5 linked regions of the Sus scrofa genome follow. The main gene of each other region encodes a partner of the protein of the gene in region 3 in a complex. Links are inferred from orthologs where the notes say so. Each region holds a gene or a part of one and is shown on either strand. Other genes may lie near its edges. The genes, in order: TGFBR2, ITGB8, TGFB1, NRROS and LRRC32.

Region 1 (4,270 bases), on a different chromosome or scaffold from region 3:
CAACAGGCTCAGAGCTGATGTTTCATGGTAGCCTGGATATTGATCAGAACAGGCCATGTTGGAGTTTGGAAAAGAGCAGAGACAACGGCAGGACCATGTGTCTTTATTTTCACCAGGTAGCATGTATGTGAGCATTTGGGAGGCAGGAGTCGTCATTCTTTCTATATTCCCAAAGCCTCGTGCAGTGTTTGGTGCTTAGTTAGCACTCAGTAAATGCTTTGTCCATTTCCTCAATGCCTGAATACTTGTAGGCACTGGTTATGGTCCTAGAGGAGAAATACATGGTCCCTGCCAGTGTGGTGCTCTCAGCCGGCCAGTGATGGGGAAGTAGGGAAAGAGATAGGAATCCAAAAAGTAGAGTTGTAGTTATTTAAATCAAATTGTGCTCACTCATTACATAGGAAAAGGTGGCGTGCTATGAAAATGTATAAAATGGAACATTTTCCCAGGTTTTCCTAGATTTCCTTTAGGGAATGACACTTAGGCTGAGTTTGTGGTTTTTTGTTTTTTGTTTGCTTTTTGGAGCAGAGGAAGGACTGTGCAAGGAAAATGGGTGGCTCATGCCCCCCAAAACCACAAACTTCTGGAGGGTTTTCAGCAAAGTGTTTTTATTGAGGTATAATAGATTTACAATGTTGTGTTAATTTCCGCTTTACAGGAATGTGACTCAGTTATACTAAGTTTATGCAATGTGACTCAGTTATATATATATATATATATATATATATATATTCTTTTTCATATTCTTTTCCATTATAGTTTATCAGAGGATATTGGATATAGTTCTCTGTACTACATAGTAGAACCTTGTTGCTTATCCAGTCTGTATGTAATACTTTGCATCTGCTAATCCCAAACTCCCACTCCTTTCCTCCCACACTGCCTTCCCTCTTGGCAACCACAAGCCTGTTCTCAATGTCAGACTGTTTCTGTTTCATAAATAGGTTCATTTGTATCATATATATATATATATATATATATATTTTTTTTTTTTTAGGGCCGCACCCCCAGCACATGGAAGTTCCCAGGCTGGGTGTCCAATTGGAGCTATAGCTGTCAGCCTCATATTTTAGATTCCATAACTGATATCATACGATATTTTGCTTTCTGACTTCTTCACTTAGTTTGATAATCTCTAGGTCGATCCATGTTGTTGTAGACAGCATTATTTCATTCTTCTTTATGGGTGATAAATAATCCATTATATATATAATATATAATAATGTAATACTATTATAATAATATAACATATATATACTACATAATTATATAGATTATATATATACACACCCACACGTATATATCTCCCACATCTTCTTTATCCATTCCTCTGCTGGTGGTCATCCAGTTTGTTCCCATGTCCTGGCAATTATGAGCAGTGCCAGCAAAGCATTTTTAAAGGTCAGGTGAGGGAAGGAGGTCCCACGGTATGTGACCTGCTCATGCACAATTCTCTGGTTGATGTTGGGTTTTGAGGGAAGAGTAAGAGGCATTGACTAGATGACACAGAGGCAGAGGAGACTGGACAAGGGCACTCTAGCATCCATCCTAGGAATACAAGTTACCATATGTTATCCATAAAAGCTATGCAGATGGTAAAACCTATGCTGCCCAAGGTGTGGACCCACTTCCCTCCACTGTGCACCCACTGAACCAACTCCTTCTCTCCTGTGTTTCCACTGCAGAGTATGCCACCAACAACCCCGACTTGCTGTTAGTCATCTTCCAAGTGACAGGTGTCAGCCTCCTGCCACCACTAGGCATCGCCATCGCCGTCATCATCACCTTCTACTGCTACCGTGTCCACCGGCAGCAGAAGCTGAGCCCATCCTGGGACTCAGGGAAGCCGCGGAAGCTGATGGAGTTCAGTGAGCACCTGGCCATCATCCTGGAGGATGACCGCTCCGACATCAGCTCCACCTGTGCCAACAACATCAACCACAACACGGAACTGCTGCCCATCGAGCTGGACACCCTGGTGGGCAAAGGGCGCTTTGCCGAGGTCTATAAGGCCAAGCTGAGGCAGAACACATCTGAGCAGTTCGAGACCGTGGCTGTCAAGATCTTCCCCTATGAGGAGTATGCCTCCTGGAAGACAGAGAAGGACATCTTCTCGGACATCAACCTCAAGCACGAGAACATCCTGCAGTTCCTGACAGCTGAGGAACGCAAGACAGAGCTGGGCAAGCAGTACTGGCTGATCACTGCCTTCCACGCCAAGGGCAACCTGCAGGAGTATCTGACGCGCCACGTCATCAGCTGGGAGGACCTCCGCAGGCTGGGCGGCTCGCTGGCCCGTGGCATTGCACACCTGCACAGCGACCACACCCTGTGCGGCCGGCCCAAGATGCCCATCGTGCACAGGGACCTCAAGAGCTCCAACATCCTGGTCAAAGGTGACCTCACCTGCTGCCTCTGTGACTTCGGCCTCTCCCTGCGGCTGGACCCCACTCTGTCAGTGGATGACTTGGCCAACAGTGGGCAGGTAGGGTGGCTCAGTTCCCTCCCCTTGGTCCTTCCCCCCCCCGCCCCCGCTATCTCCATCAGCCCTGAGCTCAGACACTTGTCCAGGGATCCAGCCAAGCGAGCAGTTAACCCTGGCCATGTCCCATGCTCCTGCCAGGGAGCCTTTGTCGACCAACAGCTTTTCTCTTCCTGTTCCTAGATCCTTCCCAGTTCAGGATGGGCTTTTTCTCCTTGAGTCAATCCTCATGTCTCTCCCATTTGGACATTTTTTTTTTTTTTTGCTTCCAACCCTGCTAGTACTGTATCTTTATCTGTTTTTTTCTCCGGTCTTAGGATTGTACTCAGCCCTTTCTGCTCTGTACTCTTGGTCCTTATATGGGTTTCTTTTTTATCATTCTAGAAGGCAGTTTCCTTGAAGTCCAAATCCATATCCATTTGGTCCCACCCAGCACAATGCCTTGAACAGGGAAAGTGATCAATGAGTATTTGTGGAGTGAGTGAGGGGTGAAGGAACAGTTCCCCTTTTGAAACATCTCAAATTAAAACCAAAACCTTTCTGGCTAAGGAGCTATTAGGAACAGACGAAAATTACCATCATCCTTTATGAAAGTTGGCCCTGTGTTTCACATGCCGGACCAGCTGTGGATTAGAGTGGTGTCTTGCGAGCATATTGCCCTTCTAGCCAAGTGGAGAGATGTGCTTTTGAAACCTCTAGGCTCTGCTCAGGCAGCCCTCAGGGTCCATGACTGCACATTCAGTATTGACGTAAACATGTTGAAACAGATTAACTGGCCACAGGGTAAGGAGTCATGCAATGACTGATTAAAAGAATTTTTTTTTCTAATGCATTGCAATAAAAAACATTATTTGGGATACTATTATCAACTGATAGATATTCCCTGGATCTTTGGCAAGGCAGGGCTTCATTGCTATTTAGTCAGTCTGTACATGCTGCATTATGAAACATTCAAGTAATTTTTTTTTTCCCCTAGAAATATGTTTTTTTCTTTTTTCCTATGTATTGCAGAATTTTCAGAATATCAGTCATCATTCAAATAAAACGACATGGCATACCCATGACATACCCATCAAAATTATAAAATGATCCACGTTTGGACTTTTAATGGAAATACTTTCATACAATTCAATTTAGCAGAGATTTTATGAAATTATACGACATCCTGGGGACATCAGAATATGCCATGGGGTACACAAAGAAGATTGAACTCAAGTGGCAAAAAATTAATGGCAGTTATTATTTTCACCATCTACCTTGAAGCTTCAAGAATGAAAATGTATTTAATTTACAAAAACAAAAGTAAATATCAAAAGTATCACCATCGTCATCTCAGGTTCTCTGCAGGGATGTTATTATATACATAATAGGATGACATGTGTCAGGGGGCTAGACAAAGCAGCTCTGGGGATTGGTATTTCCTTATTTTGGCATTTTTTTTCTTGATATTCTTTAACAGGTTTTCAGGGAGAGAACACCTACTTTAAAAAAAATACTTACAAAAACTGTGCTTTTCTGTGCAGGTCTCATTATTTGTAAAAGCACTGTGCTTTTAAAGACCAACTACCCAAGTAGGGGACAAACAGCAGCTATATGTTGAAAAGAGACATGCAGTTGGCATGCAGTGATGGGCTTCAATGTCTGCTTTTGCTTTAGGTGGGAACTGCAAGATACATGGCTCCTGAAGTCCTAGAGTCCAGGATGAATTTGGAGAATGTTGAGTCCTTCAAGCAGACGGATGTCTACTCCATGGCTCTGGTGCTCTGGGAGATGACGTCTCGCTGCAAC
Region 2 (4,270 bases), on a different chromosome or scaffold from region 3:
TCCAACCTGGCATCGTAAGTGCTTGGCTGCAGGGGACAGTGGATGGAATTACCGTGTTTGTTGGCTCCAGAACAACTTATCATATGTTTTTAAATCCTCTTTAGTGTAGAATATGCAGTGGGATTTAGTTTTTGTCTAAATGCAAATACCTGGCACTTTGATTAACTCAAGTCCTGGAAGACAGAAAATCTGGGAAGTTAGTTCTAAGAAAACATTTTAAATAAATTCCTTTGTTGTCATAGGCAAAGATCCGTACTGCACACAGGACTGTTGGACTTTTAGCCAATAAAATCAGGCTGAATAAGTCTGCAGGATATGGTAATTGTAATGAAGTTCCCATTGGGGAAGATGAAAGTTCATGGCCTCTATATCAAGCTTTCAGGCTGAGCACTGAGCACTTCACAACTCCAGGGGGCGCCATTCACACAGATTATGGTGTGAATGGACTTCCCTCTAGTTAGGCCATGATGAAGTCTCTTAGAAGCTAATTAGCAGAAAAACTAGAAGCAACCATGGACAATTTTCTTTGAATTACTTTTTTCTGCTTTGCCTTGAAATTTTCTCATGGCCATATACTTAAAACTTCAGTAAATCACATTTTAAAATACTTGCCAATTGAAAAGTTTAAAGATTCAAGAGGTAGTCGAACACTGGCCTGATGATAAGAAAATAGTTCTCTTTCCTGTCACTTAGTCACTTGGGGGTTTTTAACAAATCATTTAAACTTTCTGAGCCTCTATTCCCTGACTGACTGACAGGGTGAATTAGCTTATTTCTAAAATATTGTCTAGCTGCCTCCAATTGTACACTTTTAGAATTCTGGTGGGTGGAATTGTGGTGATTCAGGAAAAGAATGTTTTTATACTGCATCAAAGGGCAAAAATAATATAGCTTAATATTGCTTTTAATTTGAAAAATGCTATTCTCTACTTTGAGTAAATATTGGAGAAAACACATTTGAAAGTGTGGCACTTGCTTTAGGCAGAGTTTCTTAATATCTTGGGAATTTCAACCTGATGTTTAGATACAGGAAATGATGAAAACCATCCAGTTTACAAGGTAAGAAGATGTAAAACTCCACACATGCAAGCAACAAAATTATTCAGATTTTGATGTTAGTTGACTGTTTCCCTTATTGAACATTCAGCTTTTAAAATCAGTATTCTGATAAAGTGACATTGTATTATTAGGTTTTTATGGCAGTAGTAACTTAGCACTTATTTAATCCAGTCATCTGTGACATATATAAACCTATCTTATAAGAAAGAAAACCAAAATATAAAGGCAAAGAGGAAAGAACGTTGGAATTAGTATCCATCTTATAAAAAGAAGGAAACAAACACACATGCATAAAACTACACTTTGAAAAGCAGTATCCCTCAAGATTAAGGTATTATCTGTTCCTCTTGAATGAGTAAAAACTAACCATTTATTCATCTAGCTGTTCTTATTTATTCATTGCCAATTGTTGAAGTATTTGGCAACATTAGTATGACTGCCTTATTATTTTTTCCATCTGCATATTTGGTGCAGGGATTACTGTACCCTTGTAGTGACACAATGCCAAAACTATCTCACAGCATTGTCCCTCTGAGAAGTGTAGGAATGGCAGGTACCTGTAAAGTGTAATCAGTGCTCTTCAGATGATCTACATTCTATGCTGATCTAAATAAGTTATATATTACAGTAAAGTGCTACAATGACACTAGTATCAAACAGTAGTAAGACACATTTTTCTCTGAAAAATTCAGCAGCAGTGTGAGTCACATGATGATGAGGATGCTTGTCAGTCTTCAATCGAGTGAAATACTAGCAACTGGCATGATCTGGAAAATTTGTCTCCTCTGTGACTTCTCAAAAAATTTGTAGGAGCAATTATTAAAAATCCAGTTTCCCATAAAGTACATTTTTTTTATCTTTTTAAAAGTTGCACCTGAAAGTTTCATGAGCATTTAATTTGCTAATATCCATTTTTATTTCTTCAGGTTTCTCACGTCGGTAGGTGACCGCTCTTGTGCAAACACTTTGTAGAATTGACTTGTCCTTGAGGGAGAAGAAATATTCATTAATTAAGAGCCTAAATATTAAAACTAGACAATAACATACTGATAGTAAACCTTTTTTAGAATTCACTGACCTTTTTTGAGGCTGATACCCTGTAATCTGCCGAGGACTTAATTTTATTACTATTCCATTGTAGTATAACCTGTCTAATGATAAGGACTTTAAGCAACCCAATCAAGAATGTAACTATGAAGATGATGAAAAATATTCTCAAATAGCTCGGGCTAGAGAAACATTCTGTAAAGAAGCAAACAAATAAATGGGTTAAAAATTTGGAATGAATAAACCAAAGGATTCTAACAAGTAAATAATGTTCATTGTCTCTATTAATAGGATCATAGATATTGTGCAAATCTACGTTTTCAAAAAGAGGACTGCCATTACTGTTGATTCAAAAAGTAAACTAACTTTATTACACACTCATTAATAAAATATTTTCAACAGAAAACTCTCCTTTGGACAATAGCCACAGTTAAGGTATTCAATAAGATTATTTCTCTGCAGCTTGATTTCCTTAATTGTATTAACTGGGATATGTCCACATCCCTTTAACTAAGTATCATTTTATTTATGACAGAGAGAGGGATGGTTTTTGTGGTGTATACTGATCACTACACACTGATCACTACTGATCATTTCCACTTGATCACTAAGTGGAAAATAGGATTTAAAAAAATGTTTAACAGCTCTGTGTATTAGCATATATTTCTCTTGTTAGGCTTTCTCTTCATTTGTTGCACATCAGTAATGGAAAATAAACATCTGCAGAAGCTAAAATCTTTACTACTCTAATAGATGAATAAATGTTTCCTTTGAAACTGCAGTGCAAGTTTTCATTATTATTACACATAGCTTCTTCAGGAAGTGGGGGTGTACAGTTTGGGACAATAAAACCGAAATCTCTTTCCTCAGTGTTTGTCAATTTAGTTTTCACTTGTCTGTTGACCAAACCTATTCTATTTTGCTTTTAAAAATTCCACTGTATGTTTTTTCAAGAACAAATAATTACTAGCTGGAAAAGGAAATGCTGCATTAAGAGGAGGGGCATGCTAGGTCTCTGTTTCAGTCCTACGTCCTTGGCAAACTTGAGTTGGAAAGTTTACAGGCTCTGTGGCTGCCAGAGGTATTACCCTAGTCTAAGAGGAACCTGGTTGCGCAATGCACAAGTATTCCACAAAATTCACCACCTGCTCCACATTCATAAAATTACCTTCTGGCCTAAAGAAGCGTGTGTTTTCTGCCCATTCTCCAAACTTTGAGGACTTCACCTAAATGTCTAAAAGTTTTCTTGGGAAGTCTTTTGAGAAGGGACCTACTAAGGCTTAGAAGAGCAGTCACCCAATCAAGAGTGATTTCTGTTTGAATTCCGAGGGAGGACCAAGCATGTTCTTGAATAAGCCAAGAACTCAGTAACAAGGACAAGGGCTCTTCGCCAAGTGGGAAGACTTAGAGCCCAGTTTTCTCTTGGTTGTAATGATAAGGTTCCTTGAAGGAAAGGCTAAAGGGAATAGAAGCACTAAACACAAGTACAAGTCTCCCTTTGTTGCAGTCTTACAGAGAGAATCCAAGATGCCCTCTCTATTCAAAGGTGGTGTTCTTGGTGGTGCCTGGGTTCATGACATGCACGCCTTTCATTTCCCTTCAGTGACTTGTAACTGCTTAATCAGCTAAGAGGGCATGTGGCTTGATCTCACTTATTGGCTTCTTGCCTAGTAGAACCTTAGCCAGAAAGATCAAAAGAATACCCTTTAAGTGTGATCAAGTGGGTAGATAATAGAGGTAGCTAAAAAAAAAAGAAAAAAAAAAATGCAGTTCCCTCTCCTTGCACAGCAGTTGTGAAGGGGAGGAGAGATTCCCTAGCTAGTAATACATTTTACAAATATTTCTAATGAGTTAGGTTGGAGGACATTTTCAGGGTTCAAATCTGTATGCAGTCTTAAATTTTTAGCTTTGGAGGGCCAAACATTTAGCTCTGGCCATGACTCTTTTCTTAGTTTAGGTTAAGCAAGGTCTTTTCCTAAGGAGCATTAAGGGAATACTTTTTGTAACCATATTTAAGTCAGAGTAGGTTTGTTTACTTAACCTAATAAATGACATGTTGACAATAGGGCTCTATTTATTAGCAAAGGCATTTGGCTTTCGGGTGTGATTGCTTCAGCCCCAGCTGGCAGGGCTCTTTTCAGAGCCAAATTCAGTGAGCTAAGAT
Region 3 (4,270 bases):
TTAACCACTGCGCCACGACGGGAACTCCTGTTTTTGTTTTATTCTTTTCAGGGCCACACCTGTGGCATATGGAGGTTCTCAGGCTAGGGATCGAATTGGAGCCGCAGCTGCTAGCCTACATCAGAGCCATAACAATGCAGGATCTGAGCCATGTCTGTGATCTACACCACAGCTCACAGAAACACCAGATCCTTAACCCACTGAGCGAGGCCAGGGATCGAACCCACATCCTCATGGATACTAGATGGGTTTGTCACCACTGAGCCACAATGGGAACTCCTGCCTTGATCACTCTTGTCCCTCCTTCCTCCCCAGGCTGGGTCACTCAAACCCCAGACACCCACTTCAATGTCCCCTCCTCCAGGAAGCCCTCCCTGACCTCCTGGTCTGGCTCAGAGGCCCTCCTCTGAGCTCCCCATCCCAATCCTGTCCAACTCTGGGACATTACTACCTGGTTTTTATTTTTCACTTTTTGGGACCGTACCCACAGCATGCAGAAGTTCCCAGGCCAGGGACTGAACGTGAACCACAGCAGCAACAACACTGAATCCTTAACAGCTAGGCCACCAGGGAGCTTTTTTAGGTTTTTTCCCCAAATCCCCTCACCCTACCACGAGGGCAAGGATGGGGCGGTTTGGGTCACTGCAGTGTCCGCAGCATCACTCAGCACAGGGCAGGTGCTCAGGAAACGGATTAACCATTCATCACTCAGGTTTGAGTGTCTGGGGAAGAGGGCCAGGCCCGGGCTCTTTGGCACCAACATGGGGTGGGGGGTACTAGGCAGGGCAATCCCAGGACAAACAATGGGCTCAAGGCTATTACAAAATAGGGGTGGGGCAGACAAGCGGTCCTCACCTCTGCGGGTCAGCCACTGCCGCACAACTCCGGTGACATCAAAGGACAGCCACTCCGGTGAGTCACTGGGGGCCAGCAGCCGGTTGCTGAGGTAGCGCCAGGAATCATTGCTGTATTTCTGGAGGATGATGAATTTGGGGAGGAAACAGTGGGTAGATGCCGCCACTCACCCCCATGTCCACTGCAGCCCTCCCTCCACCCGCTCCCCAAACCGGCCCTCCAACAGCCCCCTCGAAGACATCCACACAGAGGCCCCCCAGTAACTGCCCAGGCCCAGAGCAGCCCGCAGGGGAGGGAGAGCCCCAGGCTGGGGTCAAGGCACATGGGCAGCTCAGCCTCCACCCTGGACCTCAGGCATGGCCCTGGAAAACCCCTCTCCCGCTTTGGCCTCGGTTTCCCCACTGGTGAAATGCCAGGCCCCTTTCAGCCTGGACAGCCCACGAGGCTATGATTCTCCTTCCAGACATCGTGAGGGTTATTAACTATACAGTTCTGGAAATTTGGCCACCCGAACACCAAAAGTCTATAGGGGTTTCTGGGGGCTTATGTTAGAAGTCATTCCATAACTCCAGCCCTCGGGGAGCACCCCGGAATTACCTGTTCAATCAGCCTGAGAAATTCTATGAGACTAAAGTTCTACAAACCCAGGAGTCTGACGTGTCACCAACCTAGATGTTGCAGATGCCTGCCCTCCCTGTGGAATGACCCCTGGAAGTCGGCAGCACGAAGCCAGGTTCTCTAGACTCCAAGAAGTTAACACTAAAAGTTCCTTGTGAAAAGAGTCTACCACCTGCTATGGAATAGAACATTCTACCTGATAGGGATTCTGGCTCACATGACCTTCAAGAGAATCCAGTCCTTCTGGAGGACCCAATCTTCCTGGAGACTCTAAATCTTCTAGAACAGAGCTATCCAAAGAACTTTCTGTGTTGATGGAAATGTTCTTTATCTGTGGTGTCCAAAATAGCAGCCACTAACCCCATGTGACTATGGGCCACTTGAAATACGGTCAGTGAGACTGAGGAACTGAATTTTTTCTCTCGTTTAATTTTTTTTTTTTTTTGGCTGCACCCGCAGCATATGGAAGCTCCCAGGCTAGGGGTCTAATCAGAGCTGCAGCTGCTGGCCTACCCCACAACCACAGCATCGCCAGATCTGAGCCACGTCTGCGACCTACACCACAGCTCACGGCAATGCTAGATCCTTAACCCACTGAGCGAGGCCAGGGATCAAACCTGCAACCTCATGGATACTAGTCAGGTTTGTTACGGCTGAGCCACAACAGGAACTCCCTCTTTCATTTCATTTGAACAACTTAAATGGCCATACGTGGCTAGTGGCTGCTGTGTGGGACAGAGCATTTTGAGTCTCCAACCTTTCCAGAGATTGCAACTTTCAGGAGTCCTGAGTTCTTCGAGTCCAACTCCTAAGATTCAGGCCTTCTAAATGTTTATCGTCCAAAGGCTATAGGTGTCGGAAAGCACTGTGTCTGTGCCCACCACCCCATCCTTCGGGGTCCATCTGTGTGGATCTCGGTAGCCACCAGCCTTCCAGCCACCACAGCACTGCCCCAGCCCAGGCCACCTTTGGGGCCCAGACCCCCACCTGGTATAGCTCCACGTGCTGCTCCACTTTTAACTTGAGCCTCAGCAGGCGCAGCTCTGCCCGAGAGAGCAATACAGGTTCCGGCACCGCTTCCCGGAGCTCCGACGTGTTGAACAGCATATATAAGCTGTGGGGGGTGCCCTTGAATTTATCATAGATTTCTAGGCAGGAGCGGAGAGGGGGGATGTTAGGGCTTAACAGGCACAGGAGGGTTGGCACACCCCAAGTCTAAGGGCTGACAGAACTGGGTTGGAGCCCCCCCACCAGACGCTTTTTAGCTGTGCGACCTTGGGCACCGGGCTTCTCTCTGGGTTTGTTTCTTCCTCTTTAATCGAGGTCTCATCCACCTTCCCCTCCCACCATGCAGGAAGTGTGCCCTCAGTACGAGGCTGGCACCGGGGTGGGGGCTGCTCTGCTTACTCAGGCCTCCCCAGCACTTACAGCCGCCAATGCAAGTTATGGGTTTTTTTTCTCTCTTTTTCTTTCTTAGGGTCAGAAGTTCCTGGGCTAGGGGTTGAATCAGAGCTGCAGCTGCCGGTCTACGCCACAGCCACAGCAATGCCAGAGGGAGCCGCAGATCGTGGCAATGCCAGATCCTTAATCCACTGAGCAAGGCCAGGGGTCAAACCCGCATCTTCATGGCTACTAGTCAGTTTCTTAAACTGCCAAGCCACTGAACTCCCCAAATGCAAGTTACATTGCATAGGGATTGAGGGCATTTGGATCAGACTGTGTGCCTCTACTGCCTTCTGTGACTTTGAGCAAGTCACATTCCCTCTTGGCGCCTCAGTTTCCTATTCATTTTTTTTTTTTTTTTTTTTGTCTTTTGTTGTTGTTGTTGTTGCTATTTCTTGGGCCGTTCCCGCGGCATATGGAGGTTCCCAGGCTAGGGGTTGAATCGGAGCTGTAGCCACCGGCCTACGCCAGAGCCACAGCAACGCAGGATCCGAGCCGCGTCTGCAACCTACACCACAGCTCACGGCAACGCCGGATCCTTAACCCACTGAGCAAGGGCAGGGACCGAACCTCAACCTCATGGTTCCTAGTCAGATTCGTTAACCACTGTGCCACGACGGGAACTCCAGTTTCCTATTCTTTAGGAAAGATCAACTTGACATCAAGTTCTCTGCTTCTCAACCCAGGCTCTCCTAACTGAAGCACTGTGTACCTTTGGTCTCCTCTCTCTGTGCCAGATTCTCCCCTGTAAGGCAAGGACTGACTGCAGGATGACAGTGTGAAATAAGTGAGATGATGGCAGATAAAGCATGTCGCAAAGAGACTGCATACTGTGGTCACACCAATGTGTGTGTTCAACAACCCCATGACGAAGATACTGTTATTATACCCATTTTATAGGTGAGGAAACTGAGGCACAAAGAGATGAAGCAACTTGCCCCAAGACCACACAGCTAGGAAACTGCAGAATGGAGATTCCAACTCAGGCAGTCTGATTCCAGAGACTCTGTTAACCCCTAGACTATGCTGCCTCCCTGCTAATATGACCTTACTCTTGTTATTGTTATTACTAATAATTGCTTCCTCCCTCAGCTGGATAGAGATGGCAAAGTTCATTCTAGGTAGGAATGGCTTCAAGGGCAGAGGAAAGGGAACAGAGAAAATTAGGAAGAGTGTCTTCTAATCTAGAAAAAGTTGGGGGCTGGGAATGAGGAGGCCAGCCATGAAGGCCTGGTCAACTGGGGAAGTTGCTTTCCGCCTGTGCATGGGGGGTGGGGGACATGCTGGAGACATCTGATGAGAAAGGACAGAGGAAGCCCCTTCTGGGGGCCTCCTTCCCCTACTAGTCCTTGTC
Region 4 (4,818 bases), on a different chromosome or scaffold from region 3:
GCAATGCCGTCAGGGTTACAAGCTGCCATGAAAAACCTTCTGTTTCCAGCTGCAAATCAGCATTGGTTTCGACTGGGAGTCTCAGGTCCTCCCTGCTGAGCCAGCTTGCTACTAGCCTAGAAGGAGAACTATTGGTGTTGTCTGCCAACCAACTGGCTTGTCTCCACACATCCTCGGGATCATTGGTTTTCTAAGTTCTTCTGAGAGGTGGCAGCTGCCTTTCTCAAAAGAAATTCTGTAGAGAACCTCAATGTATAAAATATTTAAAAGTGGAATTGCTGGGGATAAGGAGGGGAGGAAAATTCCAGAGTCCCACAAGACAGTCCTTAGGCGCCCTGAATCTGCTGGTTTTAAAAACTGCTGATCCAGGTAAGAGGCAGTGACAAGTCATGAAAGGGCTGTGAGTAGGGAGTGAGATGATTCAAAATACATTTTAGAAAGATGCCCAGGGCCACTAGGTGGTGCCTACTTTGGAGGCAGGGATCCAATCCCAGTTGAAGGAGGCTATGGAAATGATCCAGACATGAGTTGATAAGGTCTAGATCCAGGACAGTAGCAGCAGGATGAAGAGAAGGTTTAAAATCGGCTGGGATGGATAACCAATTGCATACGAGGGCTGGAGTCTCCAAGGGCTGGACTGCTGGGATGGAGGCATGCCATAAATAGTGACAGTCAAATAGGCTAAAGGATGAGTTCAGTTTGGGACACATTGCGTTTCTGCTACGCTGGGACATTAACCAGGACAATTAAAAATATAAGACTCGATTGTCTCTCTTGGGAGAGAATGTTGGAGCTAGAAATGACAATTTGGGAATAATGAACATACTGGTAGACACAAAAGACATGGAAGTAGAAAATGTGCACGCCAGGAGAACAAGGACGAAAAGACAACCTTGGTTTGTGACAATCTATTAGTTTTGTCATTGGTGTTATCATTATTACCATTATGAATGAATATTTTAGGGAGCAGAGGCAACTTACTGGATGTTTGGGGCATGTCCTTCCACTTGCTCCTGTTCTCTTAGGATTGACATGAGGGCAATAATAATGCAATACAGAATCACAGATCCCCAGGCTACAAGAGATGCGAGCCAGCCCTCCAGGACACTTCAGCTCTCCAGATCTGATGGGACAGAGCAGAACTGGAGATCCTGGCTCTGACTCCCCAGTGCTTGTTTGCATTACTCATTCTGCATTCGGCCAACACGGCAAATCTTTTGCTCCTCTACTAGATGGTAAGTTTTCGGAGAACAGGAGCTGTAAGAAAATGCATAAGGAGCTCTTAGCATAGGGCCTGGCACCCCTTTGATGGTGGCTATTATGAATTCAATTATTATTTTGAATTCTTGGCAAGAGCTAGCAGGGAATTTTGTGCACATCAGGTACCCAAAAATTCATCCTTGCTGCCTATGATCAAGACGTTCATGGCACCCTGACAGTCCAGCACAGAGCAATTTCCATTTCTTCTTCTTTTTATAATGGGCTGGAGTCCAATAAAGACTGGCTGGATGACTCTCTGCCAATTGGGAACCTTGTATCCTACCCATTCTCATAATCTGCTCCAGTTTGACCCTTGGGTATAACCTTGAAAAAGAGTTTCTGGGTCAGCAAAGCTCATAGGCAAAGGCCCCCCAGCTCTGCAAGAAAGTCCGGGGAGCCTTGGTTAGCACTGCTGGGAGACCATGAAAATATCTGACCCCTTTCGCAACCAATCCAGCAGGTAGTCCCGAGGCCACTGCCTCCCGCGCGCCCGCCCCCTCCCATCCCCCTCGCCACCCACCCGCGGCGGCAGTTCCCTCTGAGATGCCTGCTCTCGGTGAGTGCTGAGTCGCTGAGCAGCTTGTTCTCCATGTGACTTCAGTTTCCGTCAGTTCCTTCCGCAAGTGCGAAAATAATCTGATGCCCCAGAGAGAGCAGGCAGCCCAGCCCCGCGTTCGGCTGCTCTCGAGGAGGAGGAGGAGGAGGAGGAGGAGGAGGAGGAGGAGGCGGGAGCCCCGGGAGAGGATGCGCCCCGCGGAGCCGCCTGGGCCTGCGGGAGCCGTGAGTATTTCCCGCAGGGCAGCCTCGTGGTCCGGCGGCCGCGGCCCCTCCGGAGGCGGGCGGCTCAGGCGAGGTGGGGAGGCGGGAGGTCAGCACCCGTGGCCCACAGCTCGGGGCTGACGGGGAAGTTGTGGGTTGCTGCATCCAAGCTCCAGCAATTCTGTGCTTGGTTTGAGAGCTCCAGCTCTGGGTGGAGGTGCTAATACCTTCCTCTAGGAGACTTAGAGCTGAAAACGGTGGCGTGGTGTAGCAGAAACACGGAGGGCTTCAGAGTCAGACCTGGGTTTGATCCCTGTGGCTGGTGGGGAGTATGCCTGAGCCTCAGTCTCTTTATCTGTGAAATGGGAACAGTGATGTCCTTGGATGTAGTGAGGCTACGCTGTGAACTTTCAGCCTGTCTCTCCTGCCCCACAACGTGGATCCCACAACCACAGTTTCATAGATGAAGACCCTGAGACACCACCACCAACATGTATTTATGGATATCTTCCATGTGTAGGCGAGTCAGAGTTCAAGGTGTTGGGTGGGAGTAGAGCTGTGAAACAGACAGGCAAAGCCCCCTCCCCACAGGGCGTGTGTCCTTGAGAGGTTCCCTAGGGTTCTGCTGCTTGAATCCCACAGCCTGGAGACTAGACTCCAGGCTTCTCTGACCCCCTTGACCAGCGCTTTTCTGCAGCCCCTCCCAGCGTCTCCAGGTGGGCTGGATTCCGCATATATTCCTCCTGCACCCAGGAGCTGACAGAAGTAAGGAGGCACCCGAGCAGGCTGTGTGCTGCACTCAGGATGCGCTGCCAGGTCACTGCCCGCTGAGGGGGGTGGCCACGTGCCCAACTGTGGCGGGAACTCCAGGAGGCTGAGCCGGGTACTAGGAATGGAGCCCCTGGCTAGGGCTGGCCTGGGGTGGTGCACTTCCAGCGGGAGTGAAGGGATTCCCCTGGAGGTTTCTTTCATGCTGGGTGCAGCCTATTAGGAGTCTGGGCGGTAGAATCATTCAGAGTTTAAAGAGCCAGCCTTCCAAGATCTGTGCCCCCTTCACCTATTACTGGCTGTGCTGTACACACCTTTCTGTGGATGTTGATGGTTTACTTGGCTTTATAGTCCTGAGACTTACTTATTTTCCTCACACACCCCATAGGTGTGTACATGTATGTTTGGGAGTTCCTAGAGGGGGTTATAGAAGCATGGGCCCCGGGGTTGGGGGAGGACCTTGACTCTTTAGGTTAAACGAAAACCAAAACCTGCTTCACAAAAAGGTGTTTTCATCTAATGGGTGCTCTCGTGGGAACTTCATGAAAACCCTGATCCCACAGAGTCCTTAAACTCTGCACCCAAGAGCAGGAGCCTTCTTCCAAACAGCCAGCTCCTGGTGTCTTTGTCCTGGGGGCTCATGTTAGGAGTGCATTGACCTGGCTGTCTCTAGTCTTTTGAGTCTTTCAAAGAGTGCTGCTGGTACCGATCATAACCTGTGTTCTGGCTGCAGTGTGCATCCATATCACAAAAGGTGAGCTAGACTCTTGGATGGAGCTGTAGATGTACCTCACATCATGCTGAGATTCACACTGTAACCACATCCATTAGAGGAGGGTGGACTTTCACCCATGACTGGAAAAACTTATCATTCTTAGGACACGCTTGTGTGTTCAGATATGCTCACTGATGTATCTACACATTGGTGACAAGTAATTTTCTTTATTATGCTCATTCCTCCCCCCACCAAACTATTCTTCTCAGTCTCATCATCAAACAGATGTCATGTGTTCAATATGTAGTGGTTTCTGAGGTAGGTTAGATGATGATCTCTGAAAGCTCAGAGAGGTGAGAAGGAGGGGAAAGGACATTGATATTTAGATCTTATCAAGCCTCACAAGCAACTATCAACTTGAGTTTAAGGGTCTTTTAATTGCAAATCACAAAAACCCAACTCAGCTTGGTTTCAGTGGAAGGGGGAAAATAAAGAGGATTTATTCTTTCAAATAACCAAAAAGTCAGTGGGAAATAGCTTCAGGCATGGCTGGATCTGGGTGCTCAAACATTACCTGGAATCCATCCATCTCCATTTCATAATTTTGCTTTCCTTTATGTAGGCTTCATTATCAGGCAGATCCTAAAGTTGTTGGCAAAGCTGGCTGCTGGAAACTCTAAGCTTAATTCCCATCAGTTTGGCATCTGAAGCAGGAAGAGAAAGGCTCTTTTCTAATAGCTCTAACAAAAATCCTTAGATTGATACTCATGGGCGTGGCATCTGTGATGTACCCATTATAAAGCAAGCACTGTGGTTAAGGAATTAGGAGGCTCTGATGAGCCCAGCTGTATTCATTAGCCTCCTCTTGGATCCATGGACTCTTTAAGAAAGGAAGGGGGTTGTTTGCACAACAATATAAATGTACTTAACACTAATCATTTCTATACTCAAACTTGGTTAAGGTGGTAAATTTTACATTAGTGTATTTTACCACAAATACAAATTTTTTTAAAAAACAAGAGGCGTTTCCATTGTGGCTCAGTGGAAAAGAACCTGACTAGCACCCATGAGGATGCGGGGTCAATCCCTGGCCTCGCTCAGTGGGTCAAGGATCTGGCATTGCCATGAGCCATGGTGTAGGTCGCAGACGCTGCTCAGATCTGGCGTTACTGTGGTTGTGGCTGTGGCGTAGGCTGGCACCTTCAGCTCCAATTCGAGCCCTAGCCTGGGAATTTCCATATGCCGCAGATGCAGCCCTAAAAAATAAAATAAAATAAAAGGAAGAAAGAAAAGAAAGGAAGGGGTGGTTTCCTCAG
Region 5 (4,861 bases), on a different chromosome or scaffold from region 3:
AGGCTGGGGGGGGCGGTGCGGGGAGGCGGTTGCTCCCCCAACCCCCAGCCCGCCAGAGCCCCTGCCCCGCCCTACCCCAGCCAAAGCTCTGCACCAGCCCAGCGGTTTCTGCTTGGCAGCAGCTCAGAAGAGAGTGAGGTGGCGCTGATGGGCTGGGGGGCAGGGGGTGGGTTGGTCCCGAGAGGCCGGGAATTGTCGACTCCAACTCAGCCATGCTCTGCCCGCGCTGCAGGACTACCACGAAGTGCTTCCCTTGGACAAGGATCTGGAAAAGGAAGCCTCCAGGGTGTGGCAGAGGAATCTCGCTGCAATAAAGACAGCGAGAGGTCCGTTATTCTTAGTTCTGGGACTATTCTTAGTACCAGGGAAGAAGCTACCATCTTACCCACTTTACAGATGGGGAAACTGAGGTTTCCTTTGACCAGATGAGCACTAAAGCCCAGAGAGAGGGTTGCAAAGGCCAGAGGGGCCCTCCCTCAGCCTAGATCTGAAGTTCTAGATCTAGAACCTGTGGGTTGGGGGGGTGCACCCTTCCCAGGTCCTGCAACCTTTCCTACCCTGGCCCTCATTGCAGCTCAGGCCCCTCCCAGCTATCACAGATGCCCTGCTCTGGGCTGTGCCCATCTTCCCAGGCTTGTCCTCCACATTAAGCCAGATTGGGGCGGGGGGCGACAACGAAAGGCAGCTGCCATCTAGAGTTCAGGGACCTCAGTTTCTAAGTCCAGCTTCACCCCGATTTACCACAAGGCTTTGGGTGGCCAACTTCCCAACTGTAAAGTGGGGCACCTGTGCCACCCTCAGGGCTGTGACCATCAGGGAAGCGAGACATCGAGGAAGACAATTTCTCTTCTGCCCTCGGAACTAGGTCTGGAGGACTGGAGGACAGCTGTGCCCCTCCGCCCCTAGGCACCCCTACCAGGGGGCCCCACCCAGCAGGGCACGGTAGCTAGATTTGGTAGGGCCATGGCCTGTAGGAGAGGGGGTGGCTTTGGGGAAGATGACCCTCAGCTTCTGGTGTAAAAGAATGATGCCACCGGGGCTGCTTTTGCACAGCGCTCTGAGCCAACCTGAGAAAGATGGTGCCTGGAAAAGGGCCCCCACTTTGGCCTGGCCTTAGCTTTGGGGACAGACTGGGTTGAAATCCCTGTCTCTTAGAATCCGTGTGACTTCGCATAAGCCATTTAACCTCGCTGGACTCAGTTTCCCCAGACCCTGGCACTGGTTTTTATTTATCCTCGCCATGCCCCTCCCTGGCCTGTTTCTCCATCTGGATTCTGGGGACTTTGGTGACACCTTTTCACAGAACCGGGAGACGGGGAGGAGGAGGACGGGTCTAGGCCCTAGAGCACCATCCAGAGAGGAGAAGTGACGGGCCTGGATCTCCCGGGGCGGGGTGGGGTGGGGTGGCTGCGGTGTGGGGAACCCCCTCTGCGGCCACCCCAGGGCCAGTGAAAGGTCATTTCCTTCCGCCTTCGGCGCTGCCGGCACCTCTCCTGTGTGCTCCCCCCTCAGTGCGGCGGCGCCTACCGGGCCGGGGGAAATCGGGGCCAGGGCGGATTTCCTCTGCGGACCTGCGGCTCCCAGAGCCACCCGCCCCCCGGACCCCGCGGGGCCCCGACCTGCACGTGCGGTGGTGGCCGGGCTCGGCCTCTCTCGGTCTGCGCTTCCTCAGCGACCCCTCTCCCTCCCCGCCCTCGGATCCCGCCCCCTCCCCGGCCGGGTTTCAGCTTCTGGAAAATGCTTCTCCCGCTGGCGGGGTCCGGATAAACCGAGTCACGGGGGCGCGCCGGGCGGGCGCTAGGACCCCGCGGCTGGCCCGAGGGGGGGCGTGGTGGGGCGGGTCGGCGGGAGAGCTATTTAAATTGGAGCCCGAGCCGCCCCCTCGCGGGTCGGGCTCCCGTGGGGCGGTGGACTGGCTGTGCACCTCCTCGGGCCGTGACCCCGGGGTCTGGCGCGGGGTGGAGCCGGGGGGCGGGGGGCGGGCGGGTTCGCGCAAAATGTGCCGGGGCTGCCCGGGAGAGGAGCGGCGGCCGCGCTGAGCCAGGTAGGAGCCGCCCGGCGGGCGAGGCTGGCCCTCGGGGAACCCGCGGTCCCGCGCCCCTCAGGAGCCCAGGGCGCGGAGCAGAGCTGGGGCAAGTCCACCCAGACGCTGATCCCCAACAGGCCCCTCCTATCGCGGTCCCCTGCGTCGCGCGTGGAGCCAGGGTTGAACCTCCCTCGGCCCCTGACGTCTCCGAGGCTCCTAGCTCAGCAGATCTGTCCCGCGAAGGACGACGAGGCTGGCGGTCCCATTTGACAGATGGGAAAACAACTGCAGAAAGGCCGGCCCTTGCCCAGGGAACACACGGCGAGTCCGGGGAGGTTCAGGGTTCGCATCCCGGCCTCGGCCCACCCTCTGACCCTGGCCGGACGTGGTCTTCCCATTCCACCGCACCAGATAGCCTGCCTGTCTCTGGGATGTGGGGGGCGGTGGGGGGGGCGGGGCACCCACCTCTCTCCAAGGGGCTCCGCAGCCAGCCGTCTTCCTGGGTGGTAGGATGTGAGGGACCCCCGCCCCCACCCTCAGCTGCCTGAAATTCCGCCATCACAGCCACATTCCTTTGGGTTAAGGTCTAATTCCCCCGTGGGTTGCACATGTCTCCAGAATGGGCCTTGCCCTTAGTGATTCACTGCCTGGTGGGACCGGCAGCAGCAGCTCTCCCAGGACCCCACTCTGCCGGTGATCGGAGCTGAGAGGTGGGAGAGGCGTGTCCCAGAGCCCAGCCCCGTGAGCCTGTGTGTGTGTGTGTGTGTGTGTGTGTGTGTGTTGAGGTTAGAGGATCATTAGAGGGGGTTGGGGAGTGAGATCTGGGCCTGGTGTTGTGGAACCATTTGCTCTGGAGGCAGACAGACTGGATTCTACTCCCGATTCTGCCATTTCCTGCCTGTGTGACTTTGGGTAAGTCACCTCTCCGAGCCTGGTTTTCCTCATGGGCAGATACTGTTGGGGCAGGCAGCTCAGCCTGGGCTGGAGAAAACACAGCCTTGGGGCCATGTAGGCCTGGGCTGAATCCCATCAGGCTTATGAGCTGGGTAACTGTGGGGTAAGTCACTTCGCCTTCCTGAGCCTCAGTGTTCTCATCTGTAAAATGGAAATTGTAGTAACTACTTCATTGGAGTTGTGAGAGTGAAATGAAATGATACGGGTCACGTGCTTAGAGGAGTGTCTAACGTCCTTAAACAGTAGGAGTGGGCTTAGTGTGGTATTAGGCATCGCCCCCACCCCATTTCTCCCCCTCGTGTCTCTCTCTCTCTCTCTCTCTCTTGAAGTTCAGGCTTCTAGGATGTCCCCTGCCTCCTCTCTTCTGGGCCACTTGTCTTCAGGCTTGGGGTCTCCCCTTCAGCCTTTCTCTCCTTGTCTGGGCGGCTCAGCCCAAGGGTTTGTCCCCGCTGGGAGACACAATATATGTCCAGGGCATGTTCACAGCCATTCTCGGCTTGATTATCACAACCATTGGCAGCAAAAGGTGGCAAAACAGGAACCAGGCTCCTTGCCCTGCAGATGGGACACTGAGGCACTGAAACGTGAAGGGACTTGGCCCAGGGAGCAGGGCTGGTGAGCAGTAGAGGCTGGATGGGAGCCTGGGTCTCAGGGACCCCAGTCCTCCCTCTGAGCCTTCAGATTCTAGGCACTGTGTCTTGGGTGCTGATGAAGGGTGCCCGCAGCCACGGGCCTTCTCTCTCTGTCAGATGGCAGGGCGGAGTTCCACCTGCTGCAGGGAGGGTCCCTCCTGGATGCTCAGATGCCCGCCTTGGGGCTAGGGTGGAATTAGGCAGAGGAGGGGAAAAGGAGGGCCCCTTTGGGCAGCGATGCCCTCAAGTTCCGAACTGCTCCAGGTCCTTCCTTGTTCGTTTCTTGCACTTTGCACTTCCCACTCCGCCCTTTGCCGTGCACACCTAACCCTGGCTTTGCTAATTGTCCCATAGATCTTTAGTGAGCCCCGCCTCCCAGACCCCTGATCTCATAGAATAAGAAGTAAGTGGAAATGATCCACGCGAGGAAAACAGTGAGCCGTGTGCAGATCTGGGAAGCGCCTTCCAGGTGGAGGCAGCAGCAAGGGCAAAGGCCCTGAGGCAGGAATGCACTTGCTGGGTTTGAGGAATGGCGTGAAAGCCAGAAGTGGGTGAGAGAAGGGCAGAGGGTAGACGGGAGAGAGGAGACTGTGGAGAGCCTGGATTTTGTGGGAGGTTTTCAAGCAGTGAGCTTCGTGATCTGAGACATGACTTAAGGCATCGCTCCAGCTGCTTTGGGTGGGACAGACTGAAAGAGGTCGGGCTGGAAACAGGGTGCTGCTGGGGTCAAGGCCCAGGGTCCTGGAGATGCTCAGTCTGCGGCAGTGATGGGGGAGGGAGGCAGAGCCGCGGAATACTTTTTAAGGAGAGCAGACAGAGCCGGGAAGGAGTGTGACAGGAAGGGGACCTCAGAACAACCATTCTCGCCAGGTCGCCGTGTCACCCCAGTGATGCCTTGTGTCACTTCTCATACCTTCCCCAGCCTGCCCACTGGAGGGAGCGTGTGAGATGGGTCCCAGAGCAGAGAGAGGCCCCTCTGCCTGGGGGCACTTCCCATGTTGGGGGCTGGGGGTGGGCTCCGGGAGCCACAGAGGGCTCAGTGCTGGAGGAGGGGCCAAAACGTGGCCCGGACGTGGCGAACTCAAGAAGGCTTCTTGGAGGAGGTGACGTCCAAGTTAAGACCCAAAGGATGAGGAGAGATTGCGCACAAGAGAGGGGAGGAAGTGAAGGTCTGGGGCAATGAAGAGGTGCTCAGAGAGCTGAAGGAAATAGGCGGCTTCCAGGACCCAGAGCGGGAGAGGGCACAGTG

The links.
Region 1: the proteins of TGFB1 (region 3) and TGFBR2 are in contact, whole or in part, in a cryo-EM structure (PDB 9FKP), measured with the Homo sapiens proteins. The link is inferred for Sus scrofa from reciprocal best matches to the Homo sapiens genes TGFB1 and TGFBR2. Residues at the interface, in NP_000651.3 of Homo sapiens: Arg303, Lys309, Trp310, His312, Tyr368, Tyr369, Val370, Gly371, Arg372, Lys373; in NP_003233.4 of Homo sapiens: Phe47, Leu50, Phe53, Asp55, Ser72, Ile73, Thr74, Ser75, Ile76, Cys77, Glu78, Val100, Asp141, Glu142.
Region 2: the proteins of TGFB1 (region 3) and ITGB8 are in contact, whole or in part, in a cryo-EM structure (PDB 7Y1T), measured with the Homo sapiens proteins. The link is inferred for Sus scrofa from reciprocal best matches to the Homo sapiens genes TGFB1 and ITGB8. Residues at the interface, in NP_000651.3 of Homo sapiens: His117, Thr241, Arg243, Arg244, Gly245, Asp246, Leu247, Thr249, Ile250, His251, Gly252, Met253; in NP_002205.1 of Homo sapiens: Ser156, Ala157, Ser158, His160, Asn161, Asp213, Tyr214, Asn215, Leu216, Gly248, Asn249, Ile250, Asp251, Thr252, Glu254, Gln286.
Region 4: the proteins of TGFB1 (region 3) and NRROS are in contact, whole or in part, in a cryo-EM structure (PDB 7Y1R), measured with the Homo sapiens proteins. The link is inferred for Sus scrofa from reciprocal best matches to the Homo sapiens genes TGFB1 and NRROS. Residues at the interface, in NP_000651.3 of Homo sapiens: Leu30, Ser31, Thr32, Cys33, Thr35; in NP_940967.1 of Homo sapiens: Phe194, Glu195, Ile196, Glu197, Gly198, Gly199, Phe201, Leu210, Leu212, Pro218, Cys219, Ile220, Val221, Asp222, Phe223, Gly224, Leu225.
Region 5: the proteins of TGFB1 (region 3) and LRRC32 are in contact, whole or in part, in a cryo-EM structure (PDB 8VSC), measured with the Homo sapiens proteins. The link is inferred for Sus scrofa from reciprocal best matches to the Homo sapiens genes TGFB1 and LRRC32. Residues at the interface, in NP_000651.3 of Homo sapiens: Leu30, Ser31, Thr32, Cys33, Lys34, Pro325, Pro327, Tyr328, Ile329, Trp330, Ser331, Leu332, Thr334, Gln335, Tyr336, Val339, Leu342, His346, Ala353, Pro354; in NP_001122394.1 of Homo sapiens: Ser135, Tyr137, Glu158, Ser160, Thr162, Val184, Met186, Asp187, Ile188, Glu189, Asp190, Phe193, Leu202, Leu204, Arg206, Asn207, Ser208, Leu209, Thr210, Cys211, Ile212, Ser213, Asp214, Phe215, Ser216, Leu217, Leu223, Leu225, Cys227, Ser229.

The regions. Positions count from the first base shown.
Region 1 is NC_010455.5:16,846,314-16,850,583, forward strand, and holds part of TGFBR2 (TGF-beta receptor type-2), read left to right. Parts: intron 1-1,685; coding exon 1,686-2,485; intron 2,486-4,138; coding exon 4,139-4,270. UniProt on the Homo sapiens protein: Transmembrane serine/threonine kinase forming with the TGF-beta type I serine/threonine kinase receptor, TGFBR1, the non-promiscuous receptor for the TGF-beta cytokines TGFB1, TGFB2 and TGFB3.
Region 2 is NC_010451.4:89,443,005-89,447,274, reverse strand, and holds part of ITGB8 (integrin beta-8), read right to left. Parts: intron 2,302-4,270; coding exon 2,138-2,301; intron 2,044-2,137; coding exon 1,921-2,043; 3' UTR 1-1,920. UniProt on the Homo sapiens protein: Integrin alpha-V:beta-8 (ITGAV:ITGB8) is a receptor for fibronectin. It recognizes the sequence R-G-D in its ligands.
Region 3 is NC_010448.4:49,341,692-49,345,961, forward strand, and holds part of TGFB1 (transforming growth factor beta-1), read right to left. Parts: intron 2,622-4,270; coding exon 2,461-2,621; intron 974-2,460; coding exon 856-973; intron 1-855. UniProt on the Homo sapiens protein: Transforming growth factor beta-1 proprotein: Precursor of the Latency-associated peptide (LAP) and Transforming growth factor beta-1 (TGF-beta-1) chains, which constitute the regulatory and active subunit of TGF-beta-1, respectively.
Region 4 is NC_010455.5:133,493,205-133,498,022, reverse strand, and holds the start of NRROS (negative regulator of reactive oxygen species), read left to right. Parts: upstream 1-1,804; 5' UTR 1,805-2,040; intron 2,041-4,818. UniProt on the Homo sapiens protein: Key regulator of transforming growth factor beta-1 (TGFB1) specifically required for microglia function in the nervous system.
Region 5 is NC_010451.4:10,812,588-10,817,448, reverse strand, and holds the start of LRRC32 (leucine-rich repeat-containing protein 32), read left to right. Parts: upstream 1-1,556; 5' UTR 1,557-2,044; intron 2,045-2,647; exon of another isoform or gene 2,648-2,736; intron 2,737-2,770; exon of another isoform or gene 2,771-2,938; intron 2,939-2,961; exon of another isoform or gene 2,962-4,861.